2 linked regions of the Styela clava genome follow. The protein of the gene in region 1 interacts with the protein of each later gene in a pairwise test. Links are inferred from orthologs where the notes say so. Each region holds a gene or a part of one and is shown in the gene's direction. Other genes may lie near its edges.

Region 1 (12,248 bases):
GGTTTCGTCGCCATGCATATTTCCCACTAACTTGACCTTTGGCCTTCCTGGGCTTTCTTGTACAACATTTTTAGAAATTTCTATGTACATTAGTTCACGTTTTTGTACTGATTGACCGATAGATCCTGTTCGCGCAAGATCAGGAAACTGATTCTGTAAGCCATCAAGTGTGGCGACTAAGTAATCATAATGATGATATTTATTAAAGTCATGAGTGGTGAAATCATCAATTGAATCGCGTTTTGTGATACTCGTACAGGCCGCTAATCCAATGAAAGAAAATACCATCCAAAATGTAAATCCTCCATATAAATCCATATTAAAATGGTTTGCTTATTATTGTATTTTATACTTATAACATAATTACAGATATTGTGTGAATACAGCTAAAATGAAAAATATTAACTGAAAAAATTAGTAGGAAAATAAACTGATGTTCTATTTATCAACAGAGAAAACAAATAAACTACTCGAGTAAACAGTAAGTTCTCTAATTTCAAGATGACCCCACACAGATATCTCTGAAGCGAGGGTGTCTGGCACTGGTCAGTTTGTGTCATGCTTGTCTCAATAATAATCTACCGTAAATTAATCGCAACTGTCACATGACTAAACTTGCGATTTTTGCTGAAAACTCTTAAATGCTACGGTAACTTTTTTTCAGTATATCGAATTATTTTTTCTGAGAAATTCAATGGTAACATTTTTAGATTGAACTTCCTTTCAGTTTATTGCACAAAGCTATGGAGGCCCAGACTGTCATACATTAAGGAGGGGTTTGAACTCACTGTTATAATTTATTTATTTTTTGTTCTGAAGTAAGTAGGTACAAAAGTATGACAAAAAATAAATCAAGATTTTTTTTTTCACTGTTATATTGAGGCAGCTCCTGCCACGAACGTACCGCGCCGTCTCTTGCTATGGTTTTATGGCGGTATTATCGGTATATTTACAAAGTCATGTACAATATTTTAGTTTATCATGCGGAATTATATCTACTTAAACCTAAACCTATCCCCAAATACATCAAAATTGTTTTCATAAGAAAAGTGTTTCAACTTACCCAATATTTATCACCATCAGGGGCAGCCCTGCTATTACAGCCGACATGCCGTGGTTATGGCAGCAAAATTGGTGGTACACAAACCAATAGCGAGCTGCTGTGATTACGGCAGCTAAACAGTCAGTTGCCGTGGGTTTGGTCATAGCGGCCATGGTTTGAAAATCCTGCCATGGTTTTGCGGCAGATCTAGACGCCACAAAATACTTGAAACTGTACTTGGTGATGTTTGATGTCTTTTATTTGGGGGCTATACTTGGAATCGAAGAACTATGCCATACAGTACTGATATGTGTCAAATACTTTCGATATACACAAATGGTGGGTGGTAAATAACTGGGCTGTCTTATCGTCAGAAAATCTGTACCTAGAACATTTTGCTTTCACCAATATTTTGCTGTGCCTGTGTTTTCTGTTTACCGTAACTAAACAATTACACTCTTTTTTGCTCTCTGTGAGTTGCGAGCGTTTAAATTAATCATTTTCAAATGCATTGACTACAGGACTATAATTGTTACAGATGCCATTCTCAGATAACAGGCAACCCCCTCAGGCAGTCAGGCATAATTTTAAGTAATTATTCCTCACAAAAGCTGCAAAGTTCGAATATGGGTGCCAACGAGCGTCTAATATATTAAAAATATTTCTCCATCTGTGGAGTAAGAGTGGATAAATCGAAACCGCAGTTTCTGTTTCGGGGAATCCCCTAACTTTCGATCGATAAGTCTTCGGTCTCTGACCGATATTCTTTATATATTTGTTATTATGTGTGTCATTTTTGGTGAACAAGCACATGCATTACACGTTATAAACTTTATTCTTAAGTTTTGCTCGTTTTCCAGGCATTTCTGTAATATGATTTCTTTTACCGAGTGTTGCGTTTTCAGAATGACAACATAAATCAATAAATTCTGAAATGGTATTACATTGGGGTCTCGTGTAGTTTCGTACCTAATGTACTTCTAGTAGGCGTAGCATAACAATTTTTTGATATGTCAATCCTAACCCCCATCTGACTAAGCCATCCAAAAATTACGTCACTACGACATCACAATCACGTCATAGAGCTTGCCAAATATTCGTACGATCGCCCGAAATGGCATTGGCGCTGACGATAAAGAACTGACTGAAGTTATCGATCTCTCTCCTATTGGAACCGTTGCGACGAGGAAACGAGAGAAATAACTGTTCGATTTTGGGTGCTCGTTTGCGCGTCTTGTACGGCAGTTCATATAGTTTGAAGGGCTCCATTACGTCACTGTGACGTCGTAATGATGTAATTTTTGGATGGTGTAGTCAGGTGGGGGTTAGGATTGATACGTGAAAAAATTGTCATGCTACGCCCACTAGAAGTATGTTAGGTTCGAAACTACATGAGACCCTTATATTGTGTAATAAGGTGAAAGACAGATAATTTCATTTTAAGCCCTTGTACCAAAGTGCTTCCTATCTGGCCATTACAGGGCTGCCACTTTTGCCTGACTAAAAACATCTAGATTGACCTCGAAAAACATCTAGGAAGTCATTGAATTTAATGAAAATTAACAAAACAGGAGCATACAAAGTTTATTGTTTTACATAAAACAGTAATATTGGATGTCGAAGAAGCTAACATCATAACCTAGAATTCAATTCCAACCCGTAGAACTCACAAAGAGCTTTGTCCTTATCATCTGAATGGGCAATCCACTTTGGCATTTCGATAGGTTGATGTGTAAAGAGAGACAAATTCAATATCACTTATAGATTCAAATAACTTTATAATTTTAAAATCTTGAAGTACAGGAGTAAGCAACTTGAACAACACAAGTTATTCGGGTCTGGTATAGTTTAGTATCGGTACCACATGTATTTCTAGTTGACCTGGCTCAACAATTTTTGCATATGTCAATCCTAACCCCCACCTGACTACGTCACCGAAAAATTACGTCATTTCGACGCCACAGTGGCGTCATAAGGCCCACCGAAGTATGCGGATGGTCGTCCAAAACGCGCAGAAGATCACCCGAAATCGAGCAAGCAATTTCTCTCGTTTTCTCGTCACAACGATCACGATAGGAGAGAGATCGCCGGCTTTAGCAAGTTCGTTATCGGCGGCACATATGACATTTCGGCCTTTTTCGGGTGATCGTAATTATACTTTGGCAATCCCTATGACTTGATGGTGTCGTCGTAGTGACATAATTTTTGGATGGCATAGTCAGGTGGGGGTTAAGAATAGCATATGCAAAATTCGTTATGCTGCGCCCACCGGAAGTACTTGTGGTACTAAACTATACTAGACCCAGTTATTCTCACCCCTTGCAGTCTTGGCAACAATGCAATACTAAGCACTGACTGATCGAACCAACGTCGTCTTTTCTATTTAACGTTAATTCGAACATCACATGTTTAATTCATTATTTAAATATTTTAATTAGATATGGATGGTACCGTAGCGGTGGACGAATACAATATAAATGAGTTTTATCAATCTTACATCAATTCTTCTAAATACTGAAATAATATTCATTCACCTATTACAGTATTATACACATCTCTTTATTTATTTCCCACTGAATAATACTTCGAACTTTGAAAAAAAAAATATCTAGATTTTTTATAGCTAACATCTAGGCTCCAAATTTTACATCTAGATCTTGAAAAAAACATCTAGATCTAGATATAAAACATCTAGAGTGGCAGCCCTGCTGGCCAATAAAAAAAATAAATTCCAGTTTTGCACTCTCAACTAGTCTACCTAAACATTGGAGTGGCGTCTGAACATTGAAGTCCGTGGTTGGTGCAGCCAGGCATCCGTGCATTGCTAAATTCTCCCTTGACATAAATCAGTAAATCCTATACCTAATAATTATCCACTATTTTATTAAATTTATCTCGAATTTTCGTCATGTTTGTTCGCCTTCCAGCATTTGGTGCCGTTAACTTTGTACCATGGCGTTACAACTAAGTTTATTACAAATTGACGGCCGCAGCCATCAGATAAAACTGTGAAACGCAGCCAGCGGAAACCCAGAAAGCCGATCTGGCCGCAAATTTTTCACTGAAGAACAACATGTGACGTCAGGAACAGATGATTCATAGCCAATCATCCAGAACGGCGACGTAACACGTTGAAAGTGAGAGAACTTTTTTGCAACAACGAGGGCTCAATTATCGGACACGTAAGTTATAAATCGTTTTTATATTTGGACACGTGAGTGTACCTATGGATCGTTTTGATATTATGTTGTTGTTCTTGTCGACGTTCTTTTTCTTCGTCGCGATAAAATCGCTTTTTCTCTTCGAATACTGGACCAATTGTTTTGAAATTTTCAGTGGTTGAGAATTGATTTTTTCTCTAGAAGGCTATAACTTTTATTTGTCCCTAAATTTTCTATAAATCCTAGGAGGTCTAATGTTTCATCCAAAATTGCGCTGTATTACATTTTAATTATGGGAACACGGTTTTTAATCCGCCAAGTGTGATGAGTGACTGTGCGCGGCGGAGTGACTCAACGGACTAAGCGTTAGGAATACGCTCGCCACCGCACCTCTAATTACTCTGCGTGGGTTCGCAGGTTCGAATCCCACGCATGAATAGTTATGTGCGAGAGGATTGCTGGACTCCTCGCCGTCGTTGGGTGGTTCACTCAACCGCTGATCGGTTACGGCTTCCTCCACCACCAAGTCCATGCTTCCGAAAACAAACAATATAACTAATCCCATACCCGACTTGGAATGGTAACCGAACGAGAGGCCGTGGTTCGCCATATGGATAAGCCGTCTTATCGGCTTTACTCCCTACCCCCCCGGGATAAATATGTAAATCCTATCCTATCCTAAAATTCTTGCGACTGTGAACTCGGAATTTTTGAGGGTACGGTAAGGTACCGGTAACGTCATAGGTAAGGACTGCTTCGCTCTGGTCAACGTGTCCATATATTTGAGCGTTGCTCTCTTGTTATATATATAAAACCTAAACAACAGTTTACACTAACATTCATTGTTTTGGAAATTAAAAATCACACAATACAAGAATAATATGCACAAACAAGTACAACACCTAAAGTGTAGCTTTCTGCAATACGGCATCATATTGAAAATATGCAGCCAGCTCGGCGGTTGTCGTTTCTTTCCATCGCACCTCTGATTACTCTTTGTGGGTTCGCAAATTTGAATCCCGTGGGGAATAATTATGTGCACGATGATTGCTATTCGCGTAACCGCTGATTGGATACAGTTTACCCCGCCATAAAGTCCAACTCGGTATGGGCTGGCAACTGGATGCGACGTGGTTTAACTCGCCAAAAGATTTAGCCACTCAATTGTCTGTCCTCTTCCTTTGTACAAATATGAAAAACTATCTCCACTTATATTATCTGATGTCGTAGCCTTATACCCTTTGGTGTTTTGGTATTTGCCCTTCCGACTTCTGAGCAACTTTTACTTTGCGTTGTTTTCATTCACAGGACTGAAAATCAACACGTCGAAAGGCTGGAATTATCATATTCATCTCCGAGAAGAAAAATCTAATCCTATGACATACCATCTGAAATCGAGAATTCATTTCAGACTTTTTCTACCAAAAAAACGAAAATGACTTTGTTGACGGAATGAAATAGGATTAACATATTAATATCAGAGGAGAGGGTTAGCAATTAATGTCGGCACGATGCGTCACATTTACAGTAATGTCCTCCCGATATCTTCTAATTATCGGCGGTTACGTGAATTACCATGGCCTACAAAAACGGGAGTTCAGCAATCCATATATTTATTTCCCACGGGATTCGAACCCACGCAGGGTAATCGGAGGCGCGATAATGATCGTTTTCCTAATGCTGAGCACGATACGTCACACCAGCGAGAATATAGACTCGAACTTCTCAGAGTAAGTTTATTCGTATATAATGCAATTTACTGTTAATGATTGTAGTAATATTTTCACATAGTGCTGTCTTTATTATTATGTAGTATATATTTACGTCATATTAAACCCGATTCTTTTATGATGGTCAATAAAGTACTAAATTACCATAAAATATATAATATTTGTTGGTGAGGCACATGATACTGTACTCATCTTGTTTTAAATTTTTTTGCTCGCTCTCCGGAATTTGTTTGTATTGTCAGTTTTCAAAATAAACTATCTATCTATATCGGTGTGTCGAGTTACATCTCCGCATCTCCTACATTACATCCGCGTATTTGGCTCGGCGGTGTGGCGCATCGTGTTAAGCGTTAGGAATACGCTGGCACCGCATCTCTGATTACCCTTCGTGGGTTCGCAGGTTCGAATCCCATGCGGGGATGATTTAAAAAATATCCCAATTACTGCGTTAGATATGGCAGTGGCCGAGCGATTGAAGCAGCTAATTTTACTAACCAAGGGAACCACGCTTATGCTACCTTTCCCCCAAGGGAAATACGATTACGACTTTTCGTGACCGTCAGAGTAATGCGACTCCTTGCACCCCAAAGGCATCGCTTAAACATGACTTGCATGTGAATCAGCATTTCTCGGGGCTTAGCTTTGTGAAGGGAGTTGCAGTTTATAGCAATATGCTAGCATTATCTGTCATATATTGTTTTATACTTCAGTTGTATGAGTTTAACTAGACTTTTATTTTTTAGCTCTTGAGAATTATTTGAAAATCTGCGGTATGGAAGGCCATTTATGGATTCCAAGGTACGATAATTTATTACCGGTATTTTATTGTCAGATTGTAGTGAATTCAAAATGAATTTATTGTTTTGGGAATGCTGTTATTGTCAAAGGTACGGTACATATCGGGTACCGTAAGCTAATGAATGGTGTTGGTAAGTAATCATAACCACGAGCCATGTTTCAGTTCATACAGTTCAATAGAATGTGAAGATGAATTTTTTGGCAGCTTCACAAAAGTTTATTTATTCTGTTTATTACTAGAATTGTACGTAACATTAAATCTAATATCCTCAAAATGGTTAAGGGAAAAAGGGCGTCTAAGACGTCAACAAAAGATGTCGAAATGAAGGAAGTTGAGAAAAAAGAAGAAGAAAAACCAGAAAAAGATGAAATTGACCCGAAAGAAAAGGCTGATAAAGCTTTTATTGAAGATTTCAAAGAACAGTTACGACTTTTAGATCGTTCCGTGACTATGAAGGAACCTCGTCATGCAATGAGAGTAATGCGGTCTATCCCTGCGACTCGAAGAAGATTAAATCCCGAAATATTTCATCAAATCATCTCGCTCGTGTATAATGGAAGAGAAGCTACTGACAATGCAAATAAAGAAATGCTTTTGTCCTTCATTGATGAACCTATGGAAACAGCTACAAAACAAAGCGCAGACGCTGCTTCGGCACCACCTTCGCGACAAGCAAAGAGTTTTCGAATTCCGGAGACTGATATTTACATCCACCTCCTAGTGCTGATCTACGTTGTTGATAAAAATTCGTACGATGAGGCTGTTAAGTTATCAACTGCAATTGTCACGAAACTTGTGAGCCAAAATCGCCGTTCACTTGACAGTTTGGCTGCGAAATGTTATTTCTATTACAGCAGAGCTTATGAAATGACGAACCGTTTGGAGGACATAAGAGGCGTGTTACATTCTCGACTGCGAACTGCAACGTTGAACCACGACCAGGAAAGCCAATCTGTGCTGTTGAATTTACTTCTTCGGAACTACTTGCATTATAATTTGTACGACCAGGCTGAAAAACTTGCATCGAAATCAACGTTCCCGGAGACATCGTCGAACAACGAATGGGCAAGATTCCTTTACTACACTGGTAGAATTAAAGCTATTCAATTAGAGTACTCAGAAGCACACCAGACGCTACTCAGCGCTCTTCGCAAAGCCCCGCAAGCAACTGCTGTCGGATTCAAGCAAACTGTGACTAAATTGCTTGTCACGGTTGAGTTACTTCTCGGAGAAATTCCAGAGCGTGCTCAATTCAAAAAAGAATCGATAAGGGGTGCTTTGATACCGTATTTCGAGTTAACACAAGCGGTTCGGACAGGAGACTTGAAGCTCTTCAATGAGAATTTAGAAAAGCATGGAGATGTTTTCCGGGCGGATCGCATGTACACGCTTATTTTACGAGTCCGTCATAATGTTATCAAAACTGGAGTTCGACAAATATCTGTCGGATATTCTAGAATTTTCCTCACTGACGCTGCGAAAAAATTACAACTCGATTCTGCAGAGGAAGCGGAGTTTATCATCGCCAAGGCGATTAAAGACGGAGTCATTGAAGCGGAAATTAATCACGAGGAAGGGTATGTTCGTACTCGTGATACGACTGATGTTTATGGGACACGGGAGCCGCAAAAAGCATTCCATAATCGAATCGAATTTTGCTTGGATATCTATCGTAATTCAGTTATGGCAATGAGGTTTCCCCCAAAATCATACCACGCTGATTTAGAGAGCGCGGAAGAGCGCCGTGAAAGAGAACTTCAAGACATCGAGTTCGCAAAGGAAGTGGCTGAGGAGGACGACGAATACCCTTGAAAAAAACTTTGACCTTGAAAACTCTTTTTTCAAATTTGTTGCTATCTCTGGCCCCGTTCATTACTGGTAAAGTAAATGGACAAATTTTTAGATAAAGCTCAGAAATTGGCTGAAATTTACTTATTATTTAAATTAATTGAATTCAGTGTATTCTTGCAACCTATATAGGGTGTCCATAAAGTCTTAAAATTGCAAAAGTAATTTATTGTTACCAAATATTGTTTCGGTCCTCACTAATGTATTAAATGAGGTAAAAAAACTTGAACGCTTGCAAACAATTAAAAAATAACAAACCTGGTTCATATATATTGACAACTTGATTTACATAACGAAATTAAAATTGTAAAGAGACTTTATCGACACCCTGTATATCAATACTCTTTTCACTTATAGTCGAGGACGTAGGACCTCGCTTCGAAGAAACTTCATAAAAAAAATCCAAATTTTAGTAGTTGCTCAATGTGTGCATTACCCTGCTGTGAGCTCCCTTTTGACTAATTCTTTCCAAACTTTTGGATTCAAATTTTTTCCAGTGATTACAACCTTATTGTCATTGTACAGTTCCATTGAGTTGTGATTTTTCTACTGTAATAATATAAGTGGATTTATATCACAGAATGCGGCGCAGTCGAGACTTTCTGTTATTGAACGGGGGGTTAGGGTTCTGAATTTTCTTCACAATCTAAAATAAGTACTTTCGACCAGGGCTACTCAACTGGCGGTCAGAATCCGGGCCTTTATTGGATTCGGACCGCACATAATTCTTCATTTTGGATCACTTTTCAAGTTTCCTTTTATAAAATGAATTTTATAGTTTTGAATATAAATGAAAAGAACTATAACACCATAATAAACAATCTTGATTTGCTAATAATCATCAGCCGGTTGGTTGAGAAAGTGTGCATTTAAGGATGCCAAAATATAATTTCTGGAAAGACCGGACCCAAATAATTTTAAAGTGTTGTATGCGGATCTTTGGTAAAAATAGCTGAGTAGCCCTGCCCAAGACTAGGGGTTCTCAAACTTTTGCTGTTATGGAGCCTTTTCTTGGGGCCCCACAATAAATCTATAAAAAAACACACTGTAACTTACTGATTAATGTAGGCTAATAAACTAAAATTATTTTATTTAAATACGTGCTGCCTTGTTTAGAAAAAATAGTAAACGTAGAGTTTGTGGAGTCGGGCGGGTATTCAAGCACCGGCCCCTATTTTTTTTTATGTTTTGTTCACACGGGCGGCTATTCAAACGGGCCCTTAATCAAGATCGGGCGTTAAAACGAGTTTGGTTATGGTCATCGATCTTATGAAATGCGCTGTTCGCATTGCACAAGCTAGCTGTTGTAACGTCCTAGGTATAGATAATGAATTGGGACTCAAATTGGATTGGAATTACTCGCACGAACCAGATTAAACTAGTTTGCACACCCCTACTTTAGGTCAATAGCAAAGTCCAGCCCACTTTTTGTGTAACCGAGTTAGTTTTCCTGGTTTCCATCCAAATTGGAGGTGCATCTGTTTATTATATTAGAAGGCACTCAAAATGACAAATCGATCTGTCTGGTGAAATTTACTCTGCATAAACTACCTGCATTACAATTTGTTAAGACTAAGCTGAAAAACTCTCATCAAAATCAACATTTCCAGAGACTTTGTCATTCCTTTACTGCACTGGTGGTACAATACAAAATCAAATCTATTCAATTAACGTGCACAGAAGCGAACCAGACTCAACTCAACGCTCTTCGCGAAACCCCTAATTTAACTCCTTCCTCCAAATAAAAAAAACTACGTCGGACTTCACCCAAATAAGAAAAATGTAACCCAGCATTGATCACAGTGGAAAATTTTTAAATGAACAAAACAAGTATAAAAAAGCATAAAAAATGGAGCAATGAACATTGTTATATATAGGCAGTCTCACAAGCCTGAATCTGTGTTAAAGCCCCTATAATATTAGTTGCAACTCTTCTACCAGTAGTACTCTTTCCACTTTTAGTTGGGGGCCTGGGACATTGTTTGGACCAAACTTTCAACTCTTCTATCAGTACTCTTTCCACTTTTAGTTGACGGCTTGGGACATCGTTTAGACCAAACTTGCAACTCTTCCATCAGTACTCTTTCCACTTTTAGTTGATGGCTTGGGACATTGTTTGGACCAAACTTTCAACTCTTCTATCAGTACTCTTTCCACTTTTAGTTGTGGGGTTGAGACGTTGCTTTGAGCAAACCCGCAACTCTTCTATCAGTACTCTTTTCACTTTTAGTTGAGGGCTCTGGATTTTGCTTCGAGCAAAACCCCCTCACATGCCAGACATCCACTCAGTTTTCTGCGTTCCCAACACGCTTTGTAGTTGATTCAACATGAATTCTTCCCATCGTTCATAAATTATTCGAACACTGGTGGGCCCGATTTTAAGCGCTTTAGATATTTCAATGTCAGATTTCGCACCAGATAATTTAACAAGAACCAAGAAAAGTTGCTCGCGCGATTTTAACGCTTTGGAAGTCATTTCTAACGCTAATGGGCCAAGCATGTTAAAAAATAAATCAAAGTGCTCATAGCTATCAAAGCCAGTTAAGGTTCTCATATCTCCACCAAGGGATTCCAATCGTTGTAAAATGCACTCTTTTTCTGATATTCCGTTTGCCAACAGGACAGAAGACAAAGAATTTTCTAAATTTTTTGGTAGATATATTTGAGGGTCTGTCCCAGGTATGGGCATCAATACACATGGGTCTTCACCGTTATCCATTGATACTTTTTTCAGAAGCGCAGAGTATTCCTTGATTTCGTGACCCACAGAATAGGCCTGCGATTTATCAAATTTCTCCTCACATTGAGGTTTCTGTACCGTCCTCTTTCGTAAGGAAATCAAAGTTTCATCATCAGGCTTTCCAATTATTATTTTTTTACCTGATAAATTTCCAAGCGTTTTTTGTTTGTTCATTTTAAAATTTGTAAATGCCATATTGCACAGTGTTTGTTGTAACAGCAAATTTCCTTTTTTCCCATTAACAATCAAGGCTGAGCCTTCAGAATTTTTATGCACCATTTCTGGAAGATTATGATCATTGCTTTTTTGGTAGCTTTGCCACAATTTTTCATTGAGATCTTTTGATATTTGATGGGTGTCCGATGGTAAATGGCTATTTGCTTCCACAAAACCTTCAGTATCTGCAATCATATTAGTATTCGATTTTAAAATCTCTGGATCTGGGCCTTTTCTATGTCCTGTGGACTCGCTACTATGATTTTGGGAAGGCATAAAATAGGTGCCAGCCTGTATTGTATGTTCTGCAGCCATATCTGTTACGTCAATATTCAATTTCAAAATATTTGGATCAGACCCTCCAAAATTTTGGGATGACGAAAAGTTAGATTCAGCTTGCATTGGAAAAGAAGACAGCTTATGAATCGCACTTTTCACATTATTACCATACAAGGATATTTGGTTCGGATCTGTTACACTTATTTCATTACTAGCTGCAGTATTGTCAATCTCCATTTCAGTATTCTGCATATCTTTTATAATATTAGCGTTAAAAGCTGGACTGTCTTGATCAGACCCCTTTTCATGTCCTGCGAACCCAATCAAAAAATTCTGGGATGACAAAAAGTTAGTTTTAGCTTGTATTGATAAAGTGGATTGACTCTGAATTCCATTATCCACAGTCTTGGAAGTCACAGGTACTCGGTTCAAA
Region 2 (12,563 bases), on another chromosome or scaffold:
ATTGGTAGGCATATAGGGTTGCTTTTTATAGTTCTATACAGGGTGTTTGTAGCTGATACACGGATATATATGTACACAAAAATGAAACAACAATTTCAGCGCTAAATTTATATTACATGTTTGCAACAATGTAACAATTAGAATTATGCGTCGTTATTGACCTGATCTGATAATATTCATTATGCAAGATCAAGTTTTGCATTCAATTGCATGGGATATATTATTTCTTTTCTCCTATATTAACATCTCATTGTGGAACGCACAGAAAAAATGGCAATGAAAGTGCGTGTGAAAAAGGTTGGGAAGCATTGATACACAGGATGTAATAAATATGTAGACCCACACAGTGTCCAATCATAATTGACTCCAAAGCAGACAAAATGAATTTCATTCATTCCATTCATGTCGTTTTTGCAGGTATCCTCTCATTTAATATGGGGTCAATTTCATTCAACGTCTTGCAATAAAGATGAACATGGAATGTATGATGTTGGGTATGTCATCTGGCATGATTTGAATTCAACAGAAGAAAAGAAAGTCAAGTTAAATTTCTTTGTCTTATTCACAAACAGAAGACATCTATTTCCGAGGTTCGATCGCATGGGTAAGTTGATGGTTACTGTGACTGGTCCAAGTTTGCCTCATTGCATGTCCTAACATAGTCAAAAGCTAACATAGTTAAAGCGAAATGTTAGGCACGCAGTAATAGTAACATGATACTGCAAGAGTTTATCTATATTTTACCTTTGCAAAATTTTTGATCCTTATTTTCAGAGCGTTTCGCCCAAGTTTCATTTAAACTAATTTACATGTTCATAACCACCATTTTATTCAAATTATTTCACCTTCTGTCATTAAATAGTTAACTAATCTAGTCTTGCTATTCCGGGACTAATTTTTGGTAACTGCACCTGAACTAAATCTCCTCAGAATACGAAATGGCCATTTATTTTACTGAATTATAACTAGGTAAATTTTTGGAAACACAATGAAAAACTTGCGAAACTATGAAAACAATCTAATTGTTACTGACCTTTGGCATCCTGCTCACTAACCAATGCGACGGAACTAAACAAGAAGGTAGATGCTTGTGGAAACATCCATTGTCTTCCTATTAAAATCCATATGATACGTAAGAACAATCTCCAAAATAGTTAGTGCTCAGTTTTTGTAGCATTTTATAAATATTATTTCAGAGGGCCGTCCTCACCTAACTTTTCCTGTAAGAAGAAGATCTTCAAATTTAGTCACTCGTACCAGCCAAGAAAAAATTCCATCAACTGACAAAACAATGTCACCTGCACCTTATCCCAGCACAGTTTTGAATGTCAAACAACAAGGACAAAGTCCTACATCTTCTCAATCGACGTCTTCACTACAAAAACTCGCAAATCAGGCCACAACTCCGACAAATTCTGCGAAAAAAGAAGCTATTCATTTATCGCCTCTTTCTTCGAGAAAATTTAATATTAATGCTCAAGCGAGAGAAACATTTGCAAAAACAAAATCACCGACGGAATCGATAGTTTCGCCGACATATAACCAAGAAAACGTTTTCTATACCCCTGGACCACCAAGTCTCATAAAAAGAAAATTGATATCTCAGGGAAGACGACAATCAATGCCTAATGTAGGTACCTTGCCACTTGGGATTCGACGTAATCCACAAGATCCACCAAGACAAGCAACAGAGTTTTTACAAATGCAGAATTCCACAGGACATTCTGTGAGATCTACAAATGAAGATAAATTTGCTTTACAAGAAGAAGGTTTGTCCAATCATAGGTCATTATAGGTTATGTGAAATGGTTTTTGGATGTCCTGAAAAACCATTTTTCCCTTAGCACCACAAGTGTGGAAAAAATTGATAGGCCTATTATTGAATGTACTTGAAGTATTCTTTTTCTTTAAGACCCATTCTAGCATTCTGCATGATTATTCTGAGTCATGTTCTCGGTGAAGGTGCAAAACAACGCATAAAAGCATATTTTGTTTTCATATTACAATCACGCATCGAAAGAAAACTTTAAAGGAGCAGTATATAAATATAACAAAAACATAAGTCGAGACCTGGTATTATTGCCAATCTTTTTCTTCACCTTTCTATGGTCTGATCTAATGGCAGCATGCCAAATGGAAATATATTCTGAGTGATTGAAGAGTCTTGATTCACACTGACACAAATATATTTCTGTAACGTTTCGTCTGACCAAAGTCAGACTTCCTCAGACATACATCATTCAACTATAACAAGAAAAGCACTTGCATTCATATTTAAAAAATCAGTGTAAAACTATTAAATCATATTGTTGGTTTGTTTTATTTTTTATTTATCACATTCAAAGTTCCTAATCATTTGATTATGGACAAAAATCTTACTTATCTGGACATATTTTCTAGAACATTTCAGTTTAAGTTTCGTTTATTTCTCTCAGGCCTACCATCATTTGTACAATGTGAAATCAGTCGATTGAAAGATTTTCTCAAAAATATTTGTGCTTCTGCTGAAATACAATGCTACAGAAATCAACTATGGGATAAAGTCTACATGGATAAACCTGTGAGCAACACATTTTTATTCTTTAGTGAAGTTTCTTCCAATTTTTCCAATCAGTTTAACAAGATATCTTGTTATGGTGAATTTGATTGTATTTTTGTAGAACGAGAATGTTTTCCTTCGCTCAATTATCATACGGTAATTTTATACATTCGAATTTTCCCGTAGATTTCATAGTCCATGCCTAGTATCTATTCATTAAACTGGGTAAACAATCCTAATTTGTGCTCTAGTTTGAGTTTTAAAAAGTTCAACTTCAGGATGAGATTTTGACAGAAAAAACTTCTGATTATAAAATTTTACTATCTTGGCTCCCTGCTTTTTCAGTCTCTTATTCCCATATGTTTACAATTATTTTTCATATCTTTTGTTACCTAGTCTCCAAACAAGACTTCCATGCTTCCTGTTGAAGATTTTGAACATTTATTGAAACATTGTCAAAAAGTTCCTTTGCAAAATATGGATTTTCGTGGACATGATCTGTGTAATATCGAAACAATGGGAATACAGTGGGCAATTGGACTTCAGAAACGCATGCTTTCAAAATTCAATCAAATATGCAGATTTTACACAAATTCTGAAGGAACGAAAAGATATTTGGTTAGTATTATTTCTTCATTATTCTTTTCTATTTTTATATCATTCTTTGGAAGGAAAACATGAATTGAGTACATAAATCAAGTGTTGGGACATGGTTTCCTCAAATCACAGGTTTTCAACATGACATAGGTTTGACCTGAATCGGGGTAAATTTCACAAACAAGAAGTACATGGCCGTTAAGAACATAGTAGATTACTGCTTTTTGGGGATCGCAATAGATTCTGCTCTATTCGTAAGCTGTTTTATATTAGGTAATGCATTGACAGTCGTCATTACGGCTATCCAGCTATCAGTTCCTTTAAAAATGAAAATGATCAAAACAACCTTATATTTAATTGCAGGGAATATTGAATCCTAAGCTTTATTTCATGATGCTATTGATTACTGTTGATACTGAGAATGAAGATATTGTAAGTATAAATTGTATTAACATGAAGAATCCAGACATTAAACCGAATGAATATTTCCAATTTGAATGTTATAGTCGGGATTCTTGAGTAAATAGACACCATATGAATCCAAATTTTGGCTTTTTGGCTCAAAATTTGACTCTAAACTGAAGGAAGTGTCAACTTGGAATCTAGGTCCCAACTCTGGAAAAACGAGATTTTGATCACAAAAACTTGGGCCAATACCTTTCCTTAATCTTTTGTTAATTCTTTTTTAGTTTTAGTCAGAAATATAGACTTCAATTACTATTATATTATCAATAGAAATGAGAAAGCAGCCAGAAATCGCACCATTAATTATATATGCATCATTCTATATACATTTCATCACATTCCCAACTATGTGGTTGGTTGAGTACAGCAAAAAGCTACATTACAAGTTGTATTAGAACTAATTTTAGCACAGAGTGCCATGATTTTTTTCCAACTATTAGCTAAATTTTACTAAATCAAAAATCATTTATTAAACTACATAAAAAAGAATAATTTTTTTAAAATTTCAGGGAATGTTTATTGTGATGAGAGATAAATGCCCAGAGTTGGACAGAGATGAACCGAACCTGACAATTGGAAATCCTATTTTCATACCACTGAAACAGCATTTAAATAATATGATCAATTTTATTTGCTATTATACATGGACTTCGTTGTTGTCAAACTAATACATTCTTAATATTATTATAATATTTATCTGCTCTATGTGCCATGGTCATGTCAAATAGACCTCTGAGAAAAGTAGCAGGTGTGTCATTCGACAACTTACCTTGGTATGTCTGAAGAAGTTGGGCATGGATTATTACATTGCATTTGTGCTAAGTGGGAATATAGTATTGAAGTTTTCAGAAGTTTAAAATGAAATATGCATGAAAAAATACTACAGATATTGCTACCCCTATTTCAATTAGCTTAGATGAAGCTACATGTGTAGCACACTATTGATTTAACATTTGAAACTTTCTCATCTTTTTCCTTTGTAAAAATTTAGTAGTTTATTCTTTGTCTTTTTTGCTACATCTTGTATTCCGCACATTGGTGTGTGTTCTTATCTCAAAGAAGCGATTGGGACGAAAAGCTTAAGATGTTCAGCTGCGCGAGAAAGAAATCAAAAAATAATATAAGCTGTTTAAATTGTTTCCTGATGCCATATTCCAAGTGCAATTGATCAGTGATTTCTCTGGTGAAATATATTTTTCTTTGAAACTTGTCATTCAATAAATCTATCTTGTGAATTTTCAGTGGTATCAAATAATTCTAAGTGTCATCTTGTTGCAGTGATGTTTTGAGGCTCACATTTAATAAAAGTGTCTGGGCATTTTGAAAATAATTTAGTGAAAATGGATGCGTGGGTGGGTTCATGCTTAAGTTGGTCCTAATGATGTTCATTTGAGCATTCTTGCACACCATTGGCTCGCAATTATAACGAAAAAAGGTCTAGACCTGACATGGGCCAAATCCGGCCCGCCCGATGCTACGCAACGAAACTAAAACCAAATTTTGATCTTTTATCTGAAAAATAGCTCAAGGAACGTTTAGTTTTCGCAAAAGGCTTATTGTTTTCCTAATTTGCTTTTGTAACACTGTAAATATTCTTCAACTTTTCACATCACCCTTACATGGCTTGCCAGTCTAAGTGAGCAAAATTTTTGGTCCCTGGCCCACGCCTGTTCTAGACTGTCATATGTGCATATAGAAGACTTATTTCTAAAATGATACAAAATTTGCAACCGGCATCGTTAACTGTTCCCCGCAACATCAAGAATTGGTAGAAAGATTTAATGACCACAGCGGCAGTATACACACAAATGTATCAGCGAATTACGATAATATATTACAATAGGTAATTATTCAAAAACACTGCTGCTCTGCCAGTTTTTTTGCAACGATGGTAGCTCCAGACATGATTGGAAAATTTCAGTTTTTGCATGGGTAATAGCAGTTTTCAACTCTCAAATTTACCTAGAATATCTCCATCACGGAATAAATGGTATTCATCGTCATCAAGCAAGACTTTTGTGCCACCATATTCTGGAAGTAAAACACTATCACCAACGTCAACGCTCATTGGAATAAGTTTGCCATCTTTGTCTTTCGTGCCTGGACCTTTTGCAACCACTTTAGCTTGTAAAACTTTGCCAACAGATTTTTCAGGGAGAACAATTCCTCCTTTTGTCGTTAACTCTGGTGCACTTCGTTCAACCAACACTCTGTCAAATAGCGGCAGAAATTTCTTGAAAGCTTTTGCTGCCATTTTTGATTTTCTGAAAGATAAACGATAAGATAAGAAGTGCTGTGAAACCATATTTTATTAGGAGTGCCGAATCCTAAGTGTTCAGCACGTACTTCTTGGTCTTTTTTCATCAAATTCCTCCCTTCGCTTTTTTGGAACTCCTCATTCCCCTCTTGCTATGTACAAAAAATACTTTATTTATTCAATCTTTAATGAATCCTAGCTAGTACTATGCACAAGTAGCACCCCGCTTTTGTGTAATTTTAAAATGTGTACTTAAATAAGTAGTCTATTATAGTGAAAATAAAGAACTAAAATTGTTTACAGTATTAGTAATACTATGGCAAATACAAAGCCTACCATGAAACATACGGACATAACAAGTGATAGTTGGGCTAGGGAAATTTCTTTCTGTGGCCAATTGGCATAGTGCATTAGTTTTAACACCGGTTGAATTCATAAAATGATAGAGATGTGATTGCACTAAGTTAGAAGATTCAGAGGTCGTACGGTAAGACTGTAAGAGCCCTGATGCAGTGCTAGATCAAGAAGTCCCACGCAAAATTGCAGATGTATGTTTTAGTAACGGTACTGCTATGCTCAAAATAAAATCACTCATAAAAAACTCACCTCAACGTTAAACGCGATGCGGCAGGTCAAACACAACTCAACAGAAGAGGCGAAGAAATTTCCCGAAGCAAAACCACGCTCGATTTTCACCAGGGTTGCAACATGCGTTTCTGAAATGAAAAATAAACAACTTATTGTGACACCTAGTAACATACTACAACGAGAAGTGAATACTTTTGGGAAAATAAGTTTCAATATGTATGTAAATATTAAAATAAATGAATAAAAATATTTTAAAAGTGTTTCTTGAATAAAATATTGTGGTTACAGACATTAACATTAATTCATATGACGTAATAAATCCATCAAAATATCGCTTAATCATATTATATGAATCAGCTCATTTCTTGAGTTAGTGTGTGTTCGTCTTATTTGATCTATCTGTAGCGTTTCAGTTCAATCCGTCTTTATTTAGTTTCAGCATTTTATACATTTACATCACATAATGCCGGTTGAAAATTTAGAAGAAGAAGGTCTGAAAAAGATTCCAGACTTGGAAGTCGCGCAGTTGAAGTTCTTATTAACGTCGGACGATGAGGAAATCCAGCAAACAAAAATTAAAAAACAATTTATGGAAGCGATCGAAGCAAATGGCAAGTTTTAGAAGTTATTTTGCTAAAATTAGGATGAATTCCTCAAATTGGTTTTTAAGAAGAATTGGTGTTTCTATCTGAATATTATTGCATTTTATTACAGTATTATTGTTCTCAAACTCATGAAAACTCATTTATGATTTTATTTAAGATTTGTTTTAAGTTTGAGAAAACATGACGATTATACAGTTTAAGATTGATTGAATAATATATGAACAATGTGTTCATGAGTCGTGACAAGTTTGTATTATTAATGTTTGTATTGTATCAATGACCATTATTTAATCGAAATTCATTCTTTTCAAACTTGACGTTGGCCGACTTTAACTTCTTGTTTACTATGGTGCCAACCTAAATGTAGAATTACCTCCTATTCTGAAATAACAGTTTATACAGACCCATCTTTTCCAACCAACCAATAATCATCAATATGCTTGAATGATAATAAATTAATATGCCACAAGATGTGTAATTTAGACGTTTTCTTTTTTACAGAGATGGCACCCTATTATGAAATTGTTTGCAAAGAACTTGGAATGAAAATTAACAATACACTTTTAAAGAAATTGAAGGATACAAATGAGAAGACATTAAAAAAACTTGAAGATAAAATAACAGAAACTGAAGAAATGGAATATGAAAGTGAAGTCAGAGATGCTTTACTTGCAAAGGCTGAATATTTGTGCAAAATTGGTAACAAGGTAACAACAATTCCCTAGAATGTTTATTCATAACAGTCGACTGGGGCTGTGGATTTTGGGATCATTTTTGCCCGACTCAATTGAAAAACAAATCAGACTCTCGATTCCGAGTTGAAGAAAGTTTAAATTTTGATTATAATAACTTTGTCACATGCAAGCCTTCCTTGTCAACTTTATTCATTTTGATTATATGTTTGAAATCTGCAATCCAGATTCTGAAATATTCAATTGGATTCCGGATTCCGGGGGGTTTGAAAATGCGACTCCAATGTCAATAAAAACATGCAAAGTCAGGACTCTCACTTCCAATTAAGGTTTAGAAATGAGCTGTTCATCAATTCAATATAGCTTCTAAATGTTCTAATATTAGTCTACAATTTCATGATTTTCAACAATATGTAATAGCACAGTAAAGACATGCTCGTAAAAATTAGTCTTAATTACATATATTTATGCCTTTCCTCAAATAACTTTCAGGATGACGCTCTCGAAGTTTTCCAGAAAGCATATGATAAGACCATTGCACTTGGACACAAGCTTGACATCATTTTCTACAGAATTCGACTGGGATTGTTTTTTATGGATCATGATCTGATTACCAAGAGCATAGAGAAGGCAAAAATGTATGAAATATATTTGTTGTGCATTTTAGTTTAGAATTAAGCCCTTTGTGGCATGCACTATTTGTCCTTAGGTGATATATAATTTGGATTTTCTCTCGAAACAAAGCCATGTACAAGTAGCAAGTATCTAGCGATTCTGCCTTCATTTTTTACATCCTGGATTGGTAGACAGTGTGACCAGGGTACAGATGTCAACATTTTCACACCACGATACATCAATTTATTTCTGTTTATGATAAGTGTTTGTGATAACGATTGTTAACGATCTATACCAACTTTTATTGTTTTTCAGTTTAATAGAGGAAGGTGGTGATTGGGATCGGCGAAACAGACTAAAAGTTTATGAAGGTTTGTATTGTATTGCGATTCGAGATTTCAAGAAATCAGCAAATTTGTTTCTGGATACTGTATCAACATTCACATCCTATGAACTTATGGATTACAAATGCTTTGTCACATATGCTGTTTACATCAGTATGCTTGCTCTTGATAGAACCGAGTTAAGAGAAAAAGTGAGTTCTATTTAATGCACAACTTTACTACATTTTTTTACTACACAATTCAGTGATGATTTATCATTATGCGAAACTTAACTACAATTTACTTCAGTACATATTAACAACATATATTGATAACTCAATTCAAGCCTATAGTTAGGACATTGGGCCAAGTGTTGATAAGAGTAATTACTAGCAATTGAACCATCGTTTACCCTATTTTTGCAGGTTATAATCATATAACTGAACTAACTTTTCAAACATCAATTCAGGTTGTAAAAGGTTCAGAAATCTTGGAAGTTTTGCATAGCAATAAGGAATGCAGAAGTTACCTGTTCTCATTGTATGATTGTCATTATGCAGAGTTTTTCCAGCGTCTAGGTATGACTTAGAACGTGGAAAATTTGAATTCTTAATAATTGTTTTTCATTGGGTAATATAATACTCTGTGTGATGTGATTTTGGAATAAGGATGTAAATGTCTTAAATTCATTTCATATTATCTTTTTATTAAAGAAGTGAAATTTATTTATTTTTGAATATTACAGCTCAAGTTGAGGTGGAAATGAAGAGAGATAGATTGCTGAATCCTCATTATAGATACTACACTCGTGAGATGAGAATACTTGCTTATACACAACTCCTTGAATCATATCGTAGTCTTACATTAGAATATATGGCTGAAGCATTTGGAGTTACTGTTGAATTCATTGATAGGTATGTTTACCTGAATCATTATATTAGCTATGGGGTGAACTTTGTACCATCAATGGGAAGCTACCAGATGTGGATATTGTTATTACTTTGCATACGAGAAAAATTTCTTCTTGATCTTCCATTTAGAAATTGGAATGTCGCTAACTAAGGGCTTAAGTACTTGAAAATTTTCAATCCTTGTCTGTCTGAATTGAGTCTTGGACTCTGCTTTTGATTCGAATACGAGCAACAGAAATGTGGACAATTTGCATTGCCTGATGAGTAAATGAATATCACTATCAATCGAGTATATCAGTTTAGTATGAATTGTATTCGGCATCTGAACTGCTAACTCCCATTCACGCAATTCACTTGTCCTTCCAAAAGAATATCTACATCTATATAGTCTCACGAGCCCTCTGATACTTTGCTCAGAGATCGGCGTCCTCTGTTTCCGAGTGAGTGTGACCTTGATACGATCAACCTAATTCTTGCAAATAAAAAAAAAATCTCATCTCGTTTACACAGGGAGTTGTCAAGATTCATAGCTGTTGGGAGACTGCATTGCAAAATTGATAAGGTCGGTGGGATCGTTGAGACCAACAGACCTGATAGCAAGAACTGGCAATATCAGGAGACAATAAAGAAAGGAGACTTGCTGCTAAACAGAGTTCAAAAACTATCAAGAGTCATCAATATCTAATTATACTCTTTATTTCGTATGATAGAAACAATTCTTGTGTCCATAATGTACCATGTTGTATATATAAAATTTCAAACAAATGTGCAGTGGTGGTAAAAATACACATTCTGTGAGTGGCAAATTCAGTGGAGATAATAAGAGAGCTATGCGGTAGCAGGCTAAAACAAGCCAATCCCTTAGATGAAAAAATGACGAGCCACCATTTACAATAAATACCAAACGGGTTCCTTAGAAATATAGTAAAAACAGCCAAAGCAAGTGTATGAACATTGTGAAACTAATATTGGATATTATACCCATAAGATTTTCAAAACAGATAAAATGTGGTTTTCTAGTATGTGACGAGAATAGAATACAGCAACAAATTTTAATGTGTAATGTGAACATAGCATGTGTTTGGCCTTATTTTTACAACCAATTAGCACATTCTATTGTTCACAGCCATGAATGAATTTAAATGAACTCTTACGCACGAGTAAGCAATGGTCTAAGTATGTCATACAACATGGACGTGAATCCTTCACTAAACAGGCTTTCCACCTCGTTTATTTCGGACAGTTCATGAACATGGAAGCCCTCAAATGGTACAAGGTCGTCTTCATAAGAATCTCTTAATAAAATAGTCATGAGCCGTTCTTTACAAGCATGACCAGCTGAATCAATATCAACTTTTTGAGTTCGCATCTTTTTTAAATATTCTTTAATATCATTCTTGTTACCGTACAAGATTATAAAAATGAGATGCTTGTAAAATAAAACAACACCCTGGACTTGTAATCGAGTTGCCCATTTTTGTAACGTTTTTAGATAATTGTTTTTTGAGCGCATATGATCAAGCTGTATCACACAAATTTCCTTCGTTTTATTCTTAGCAAGACTTCCTTCATCTCCGCAACCCTGAAGTCTATTCGAATTTACACCAGAAGCAAATTTTGCCACGTTATCTTTAATCCACAATATAAGGTCTAATAACATTTGACTGTTCAAAAGATTATTCTCTGTCGCAAACTTGGACATCTCGCTGTTCAGTCCAGAGGAAGATTCTCTTGTCAGCATTGGTGAATCAATTGTCACATGTGGCACAACTTCTGGATATTTGTGAGATATATAAAAAGTAATTCTGAGTTGTTGACAATTCTCCTCCGCGTGTGTCAAATTGAGTTTAAACGATTTAGATAAAGAGCTTTCCAGATCATTAGCTTCAAACTCTCCTTGCTGACAATAAATAGACTTCACGGCTTCAATTTCATCCAGAATGGACATAGTGGTATCGTAAAAATTTAAGATAGACTATTCACAAACAAATATATAATACAAATACATATATACAATACATCAGACTAAATATAAACAAATTCCAGGATCAAAAATGAAAATACATGACTATGCTAGCGAATTAACCAATTTCTTAAATTTTAGTCTGTTTTTTGGAATATTTCCATAACACAAATCATTTAAAAAAAGCTAGGCTAATTATGAGTGGCAATTTCATCATAATGGTTATTGATAGAATGTTTGGTTTTAAGAAAGCGCGGACCATGCATGAAGTTCAGTGAGGTTTATTTCCTGGAGAGCGTACAAACTATTGCTGTCTCTTTTCAGCTTGTATATTGGTCCGACTGTTGCGGATTGTGATCTAACTAGCACAGCATTAATTCATTAGCTTTTTATATAAGCTATTATATTGAAGAAAATTATATTAAATAGATATTCCTAATTTGATTGAAGTGTAGACACAAGCCATTCCATTGCTGTGTCTAGTCCAATATTTTTCAATGCGGATGTTTTGAAAATTTGCCATTTCCTATCTCTCAGTTTAGAAAGTCCGAGCTCTTGTGCAATCTCTGCTGGTGACATAGCTTGTTCACAGTCTTGTTTATTGGCAAATACTAACAGCAGTGATTTTTTCAATTCTTCTTCTTCCAGCATACTTATTAATTCTTGTTTTGATATGCCGATTCGTTCTCGATCAACGCTATCCACAACATATATTATAGCATCTGTGTTGCTGTAATAACATCTCCAATAGGGACGAATGCTGGTCTGACCGCCCAAATCCCAGACTTGAAATTTGAGATTCTTGTAAACAACTGTTTCTACATTGAAACCTATTGTAGGAATTGTTGTGACTACTTCTCCAACTTGTAACCTATATAGAATTGTAGTTTTCCCAGCACCATCCAAACCCAGGATAAGAATTCGACGCTCCTTTTGTCCAAACAGTGATGAAAATAATGAAGCAAACAGATTCCCCATGATATAATTGACTGTTTAATAAATTCCTTT

The links.
Region 2: the proteins of 26S proteasome non-ATPase regulatory subunit 3-like (region 1) and 26S proteasome non-ATPase regulatory subunit 6-like interact in a two-hybrid assay, tested with the Caenorhabditis elegans proteins (2 studies listed by BioGRID). The link is inferred for Styela clava from reciprocal best matches to the Caenorhabditis elegans genes rpn-3 and rpn-7.

What each region holds. Positions count from the first base shown.
Region 1 is NC_135263.1:1,699,906-1,712,153, forward strand, and holds 26S proteasome non-ATPase regulatory subunit 3-like, read left to right. Parts: upstream 1-6,947; 5' UTR 6,948-7,005; coding exon 7,006-8,544; 3' UTR 8,545-9,162; downstream 9,163-12,248. Other genes in the region: carboxypeptidase D-like, read right to left, coding at 1-318; uncharacterized protein LOC120326815, read right to left, coding at 10,847-12,248. UniProt on the Caenorhabditis elegans protein: Acts as a regulatory subunit of the 26 proteasome which is involved in the ATP-dependent degradation of ubiquitinated proteins.
Region 2 is NC_135258.1:11,544,992-11,557,554, forward strand, and holds 26S proteasome non-ATPase regulatory subunit 6-like, read left to right. Parts: upstream 1-6,806; 5' UTR 6,807-6,909; coding exon 6,910-7,057; intron 7,058-7,552; coding exon 7,553-7,758; intron 7,759-8,235; coding exon 8,236-8,381; intron 8,382-8,673; coding exon 8,674-8,893; intron 8,894-9,150; coding exon 9,151-9,259; intron 9,260-9,426; coding exon 9,427-9,595; intron 9,596-10,102; coding exon 10,103-10,277; 3' UTR 10,278-10,357; downstream 10,358-12,563. Other genes in the region: KICSTOR complex protein SZT2-like, read left to right, coding at 418-604, 1,197-1,769, 2,436-2,560, 2,936-3,157, 3,500-3,568, 4,111-4,269; 10 kDa heat shock protein, mitochondrial-like, read right to left, coding at 5,547-5,855; RWD domain-containing protein 3-like, read right to left, coding at 10,743-11,540; ADP-ribosylation factor-like protein 1, read right to left, coding at 11,991-12,533. UniProt on the Caenorhabditis elegans protein: Acts as a regulatory subunit of the 26S proteasome which is involved in the ATP-dependent degradation of ubiquitinated proteins.